Solanum lycopersicum: one gene and its partner. The protein of the gene in region 2 interacts with the protein of the main gene of each other region in a pairwise test. Links are inferred from orthologs where the notes say so. Each region holds a gene or a part of one and is shown on either strand. Other genes may lie near its edges.

Region 1 (3,176 bases), on a different chromosome or scaffold from region 2:
TCACATGTTATAACTCACCCATTTTCATTAACTAACTCAATCTTAAGTAGGTCTTGGGACAATATTTCGTTGAACAAGACCACCGAGTGTAATCTCACAAGTGGAATCTATGGAGGTCGTGTGTACACAGCCTTACCCCTATCTTTGAAGGTAGAGAGGTTGTTTCAAATAGACACTGGTTCAAGCTCAAGTGAAGCATAAAGAATCAGTATGAGAAGGAAAACAGCAATCAAAAAGCCATGTGGAAAATAATGGACCAGTAGCAACAACATATAAACCATAACTAGAAAAAAGGAAACAACAGGTAAGTATAAAATAGAAGACTAAGATATTAGGAAAATAATAATATTAATAAGGAAAATAAGGCAACGCTCAATTACCTACGAACCTTCTAGCCTAATCCTCGACCTCCATATCATCCTATCTAGGGCCATGTCCTCGCTAAGTTGCAATTGTGTCACTTCTTCAGCATAATTCTACCTCTACCCCCCACACACCCCGTAGCCAACCTTTCACACCTCATTGCAGGGCAATAAGTTGATAAAAAAAAGGTATTGTGAAGATGATTTTGAAAAATAATATTTTACATATTCTCTTCTGTACAAATACATCTTGTGAAAATAATTACAAATAGAGAAAACCTCTCCTCTTTTCTCCTCTTTCAGAGACCAGAGGTATCCTATATCTGTCTTCTCATTCTTATATAGAAGTGATCCTTCTGATTTTATTATTAGAAAGAAGCCTATGCTCAAATGTAGGCGAAAAGCAATAAGCTTTTGTTAATATCAAATTTATACGGCCTAAGATAGGTCAAAATTCACTTGAGCTCAAGTACAGCTAAGACAAGTTGAGGAAAGCATGTTGCCCCGAGCTTACTTGCCTTGCTTGTAGATTAAACTAATTCCAACAAAAGAAATCATGAGATGACATATTAAAGAATGTAATGATTTATATCAGATAGTTACTAATTTGCTAAACAATACAAATAACAATAGATGATTGTTGAGCATTTACCTGCACTAAAATAAACGGTAAAGCCACACCACCACTAGGAGCATTGCCTGAGCCATACAACTGATCATTGCGTTTTATGAGGTTTTGAAGCCCTACATACTATTTTAAAAGGAAAACAGTTTAGTAAAAAGAATAAGGATTACAGGACCAAGATATCATGCATCAGCATTGCGAAAGACTACCAAACTTATTTCTAAGATTGAACTAAAGATAGTGTTTAGAGAGAATTTATACTTGATCTTCAAGTTCTTCTAAATAAGCTGCTTTCTTTTCAATCCTATTTCTCAAGTTAAGACGCTCAGTCTGCAGTTACAACATGAGATTAGATTAAACATAGATCAACTGATGTGTGCCAAAAGTGATGGCTCATTGAATGCAACAAAAAAGAGGAAGAAGAAAGTTAGAGAAATCAAACCTTTAGCTCCTCAATATCATTTGCATCAGTGCGTGGTAATCCCTTCCACTGTATTTCCTTTTTATCTTTAGAAATGATATCCATAGCCATAAGTACGTTCAGAGCATCGTAGACTCGTCGTCTGATGTTCTTCTCATCATATTGTTTCTGTCATAATAAAGGTTCAAACTAATATTATTGTTGAAAACGAACAAATTAAAAATTTATGAACCGCGAGGATGGAGAAAAACCTGATCTGAGCCTGCAACACTATTGGTAGCATCAGAAAACTCAGCTACAAGTTCATCTGCAACCTGAGCAAGACATTAACTTCTGAGATCAGAAATCCCTTGAAAAGCAAATTGTTCAACACAGGAGAATGTAGCAAGCAGAAATCAGCCGTAGAAAATGCTAGAGTACAGTTAAAAGTGCAAATAAGTCCTTAGAAGCCAACAACAGAAGTACAACTACCCTTGTCAAGTTTCTGGGCGCAGGAGGCAGAGAGGCTGTTTCGGCTATGTTGCTCGGACTCTCTAAAAATTGTGATGGGTGCATTTTGGATTATCCAAAAGTAGTGTATTTTTGAAGAATCCGACACGAGTGTGGCATCAGTTTTGGAGAGTTCGAGAAACATAGGTTTCTGGGAGGCCCTCGACTCAATTACAACAAATTATAGTAGTTGTAAATAAGAAATAACGAAGTGAAGAAAACATGTTGATTAATAAAGAAAGTAGTACAAAGCATTTAGAAAAAGGAACAGTAGCAGCAAAATAATGTGACAACTGAAACACAAAAGACACCAGATGGTAACAGATATCAAAAGTGAGATACTACATGTATAAGGCTAATACTATGACCATCACGGTGCTTCCCGACGGCAGACTCTCACCAAGACAAATCCCACCGAAAAGTGAGACCAAACTCAGCTACCTACAAAACTTCTACTCTCATCCACGACCTCCATGCCCTCCCTATCTAAGATCATGTTCTTCTATGAGCTGAAGTTGCATCTTAACTGTCTAATCACCTCTCCTCAATACTTCTTTGGCCTACCTCCACGTCTCCCACACTATACCCAACTCGTACCTCTTCACTGGGGCATTTGTGCATCTCCTCTTTACATGCCCAAACCATCTCAGTCTCGCTTCCATCATCTTGTCCACCACAAATGTCACTCCTAAAGGTGGTGTGGGGATAACTCTTTGAAAATTACATTACCTAACATCTATAGAATTCCCCGGGCCAAAAATAGATAACAGTTCAATGAGTCTGAAGTTTACAAGCTAAAAACAAGAACCCTGCTCAAAGAGTTTCTTTAACTGATATAATCTGTAAAATTATGTTGGGCATTCATTACAGTGATTTCTTCTCTTTTGAATATTTATTATGAGGCTATATAGAGTGTTGCACTTGCTTAAAGAATTTACAGTTGAAGTATTTCAGCTTTTTGTGTATAAGGATGTCCTTAAGAAAAAAAAACTAGATTAAGCTACAGAAAATTTATGCACCAATTTCTTGAATAATAACTATGACCGTAAATCTATTAATTCAATGAACAGAACAGATATTATACATCTCACTGCTCATGTCATGGACATGATTAATATCAAGACATAACCCGAAGACAGAAACAACCACATTACTAGTTCTGAGGAAGAAAAACCATAAATTATATGCCCTTGTGAGACATTATTTTGATACCCAAAAGCCATTTAGTGAATCATCTCATAATTAATACTCCCTCCGTTTCAATTTGTTTGTCCTATCC
Region 2 (3,974 bases):
AGACCTGAACAGAAGATTCAATTTTGGGTTTATTCCACCATAAACTCACGTTTTCCATAAAAACTTTTACAACAAATCAATCCCTGGGCAAAAAATCATGGAATACCCAATGAACTGTCGTAGCGGCAGCTTGCAGGTGTAAGGGGAGAAGGAGAACCTGCGAAATCGCAATCCACAAGTTAATTAAGACCATATAAACCAGTGCAACCAAGACAGTACAGACCGTTTTCTATAAATAACGTTTAGATAGATGCGGAGGGAAATAAAATTTGAACATTTACTCGTGTCCAGTTACAATCAAGACATAAAAAATTAGACACAAGCCTCACCAGCATTATAGACAGGAGTTTGAGGTCCAGATTTATTATTTTTTGTGGCTCTTGACCGTCCATGTGCTCTTCCTCCTTTTCCAGACACAGGCGTTCCAAGAGGACTATTGGCCACATCTGCATACCCGGAATTAGCAGTCCAGTCACTGGACTCAACCTCTTTAATATAGCCTGTCTTCCGCTTTAGTGCCTACAGGCGCATTAAGTGTGCAAAGTAGAAATAAGTGATCAACAAGTAAAACATAGCAAACTGAGGAACAATTACGACTAAACTCTGAATTTTCCCTGGGATAAATTAGAGTATATAGAATTAAAAAATTCTTGACTTGGGCACACAATTATCAAACTATAAACAACAAGGGTGGACAGCAGTGTAAGAAGGCTCCCTCTGTGCAGGCTCCAGGGAAGGTGACTGTAGACAGATAACTTCCTTATGGAGAGGCTGGTTCCAAGACATAAGCACTAAACCTTTCACACCTAAAATAATATACCTATAGAAGGAAAGCCATAACTAACAGAGCTTCAGTTTAATTTAGTGCTAACTAATTAGAGAACACAAACAAGTCCCAATTGTTACTTAAACAAAGGAATTAATTCTGAAGATGAACAAACAATAAAAATCCTCCCACTCAATCTTCTCTAGCTATCAATAGGACTCAAAACATGAATGACACCAATAATATCCACATACAAAAAGAAAATGGCATTCAGGTTTCATGAGGTTTATAAGATCAACAAAGCTACATTACATGTTCAACTATGTAACCAAATTGGTTGTCACGTGTGCAAACATGAATGACAGAACAGCATAAATCACAACCAACTCACTTTGACTCATTTACTCCTTTTTACCAAATTTAGCCAGCAGTATCTGGATGTTTCAGCTAACAAGAGGCAAATGACCTCCGGGGAAATTAGAAATGAAAAACCAAAGGCAGCTTAACATCTTAACCCAACAAAAGCCAATTAGCTACATACCAAATACCATCCATTAGCTTAACAAACCCAATACCAGGTTCCAACCACAATAATTAGCCTCAAAAGTTATTCACACATTGAAATACAAATATTGCAGATCAACAAAATCGCAAGTACCACAAAATGCACAAAACAGCAACAACTTAACTCGAAATTACACCTTTTTAACGACATATAATCAAACCCCACAATATATCTTTCTTCAAAATATCTTATTCATGTCTCTACTAATCAATCCCAGTTATAATCTGAAGTTCCATTTCAAAAGGCAAGACACACTACCAAAGTCCAACATCAATCCCAATTAAAAGCATCCATAAACGACAATCTTAGTTCAAACAAGAATGCTAGTAACCACAAAATGCACAAAAACAGCAACAATTGAACTCAAAATTACACCTTTTTAGCTACGTTTAATCAAACCCCACAAGATATTCCTTTGAAATCTCTAATTCACGTCTCCACTACTCTATCCCACCTCTAATTTAAAGTTCCCATATTTCAAAATGCAAAACTCACTAATAAAATCAAACAGCAATCCTCAACAACTACACTATTAGCTCAAACAAGAATGCAAGTAAACACAAAATGCACAGAAACAGCAACAATTGAACTCAAAATTACATCTTTTTAGCTACATTTAATCAAACCTAACAAAATATCCTCCTTCGAAATCTCTAATTTACGTCTCCACTCCTTAATCTCACCTCTAATCTAAAGTTCCCATATTTCAAAACGTAAACCCACTATTAGAATCAAACAGCAATCCCCAACAACTACACTATAAGCTCAAACAAGAATGCTATTTACTGCAAAATGCACAAAAACAGCAACAATTCAACTCAAAATTACATCTTTTTAGCTACATTTAATCAAACCCCACAAGATATATTTCTTCAAAACATCTAATTTCAAGTCTCAACTACTTAATCTAAAGTTCCCATATTTCAAAACACAAAAACCCACTACACAAAATCAAACAGCAATCCCCATAAAAAAACAACACTAATAACTCAAACAAGAATCCAACAAACTCACAGGTGACTTAACCACAATAGCTTCAGGCTGCAAACTAGCAGACCCAATTCTAGAATCAACACCAGGTATAGAAAATCGGTGGTAATCCTCAGGTGTAACAAAAGGTGGCCTCATAGAAGCAAAGGGTAAGTATCTTTTGATCGGATGAGAGATCTGACTCCTCCCTCCACCGTTTACAACGGCGGATGATGACTGAGCAGTGGGTGGCGCCGCCCCACCAGTGGATGCACTAGAACCTGTCATTTTTTCCCTAGTTTTGTAATCAAAAGATATACCCTTTGAACTCAAGATTTTTGGATTGTTGAAGAGAAGGGTTCTGAGGGGATGGGGTGGGGGTGGGGTAGGGGTAAAGGGGGTAGGGGGTAAGGGGGGGGGGTAGGGGGTAAGGGTTTCTCTGTGAAAGGCAAAAAGGAGAAAACGAGGGAAGGGAGGGAATTTTGGTTTTTGTATATATGTGGAGGGAAGAGAAAATGTTAATGTTTTGTTTTTATTCATTTTGGTCCATATGAATACTTATTATTTGCAATTTGACCCTTCTATTGGTAAAAAATTTACTATTTTATTTTTATTTTTTTTGGGCGATCAAATGACGGAAGTCAAAAATTAGGGTAGAAAGTTACGTCGAAGAAACATGATTCTAGTAGGTAGGGGTGGCGTTCGCCATTCGTCGTTTGGCTCTTTGGTTTGCAGTTTTGAAAAAGTGTGGAGTGAATACCAAACCAAACTTAGTTCGATTCGGTTCGTTTTTTTCAATTAAAAATGATTTTTTCGATGAGAATGAAGAATAAATGAGGGTAAAATAAAAAAAAAGGTGTGAGATATATAAGAAAATTTAAAACTATGTTAAGTGATTGATGTTTCTCGTCAATATGGAACAGTTATTGTACTTAAATATTGTGTCACGCCGCTGCTCGAGGAAGACAAGGACGAAGATGAGTTTTTTACGTAATGTATATCGATAAAAATATGTTTGAATTTCTCTATTTTTCAATATTTATGTTCACCCTAATAATAGGAGCAACTTTTTTTGTTTGCAGTTTTGAAAAAGTGTGCGCTGAATACCGAACCAAACTAGTTCAATTCAGTTTGTTTTTTTTCAATTTGTTTTTAAAAATGAATTTTTCGATGAGAATGAAGAATATAAAACGAGGGTAAAATTAAAAAAGTGTGAGATATTTAAGAATCTTTAAAACTATGCTAAATGATGACGTGTCTCGTCAATATGGAACAGTTATTGTACTTAATTATTGCGTCACTCTGCTGCGCGAGGAGGACAAGGATGAAAATGAGTTTCTTACGTAACGTACATTGATAAAACTACGTTTAAATTCCTCTATTTTTCAATATTTATGCCCATCCTAATAGTAGGAGCAACTTTTCTACTCCCATCTTATACTAATCACTACTATTAATCCTATATTTTCTTATAATCTTATTATTTTTGTTTTAGATACTTCTCTTTTTTGCATTTTTATTATCGTAGATTCTACAAAAAATATTTTTCTTTAGTTGAGTGTTTATCCGAAACCTATCTACCTTACATGAAATGAGAGTAAAGTTTGCTTATAATTTATCCTCCATAATCCATATGTCACATTTTTTAGGTCACATTGAATATATTGTTGTTGT

The links. The genes of interacting proteins can lie anywhere in the genome.
Region 1: the proteins of transcription factor E2FA (region 2) and DP1 interact in binary tests that used the Arabidopsis thaliana proteins (3 or more experiments, as listed by UniProt). The link is inferred for Solanum lycopersicum from reciprocal best matches to the Arabidopsis thaliana genes E2F3 and DPB.

Annotation. Positions count from the first base shown.
Region 1 is NC_090809.1:59,414,761-59,417,936, reverse strand, and holds part of DP1 (transcription factor-like protein DPB), read right to left. Parts: intron 1,723-3,176; coding exon 1,660-1,722; intron 1,577-1,659; coding exon 1,430-1,576; intron 1,318-1,429; coding exon 1,249-1,317; intron 1,114-1,248; coding exon 1,015-1,113; intron 1-1,014. UniProt on the Arabidopsis thaliana protein: Involved in the regulation of the G1/S transition. Increases the DNA binding activity of E2F proteins after heterodimerization.
Region 2 is NC_090800.1:2,212,603-2,216,576, reverse strand, and holds the start of transcription factor E2FA, read right to left. Parts: upstream 2,801-3,974; 5' UTR 2,589-2,800; coding exon 2,346-2,588; intron 520-2,345; coding exon 330-519; intron 158-329; coding exon 107-157; intron 5-106; coding exon 1-4. UniProt on the Arabidopsis thaliana protein: Transcription activator that binds DNA cooperatively with DP proteins through the E2 recognition site, 5'-TTTC[CG]CGC-3' found in the promoter region of a number of genes whose products are involved in cell cycle regulation or in DNA replication.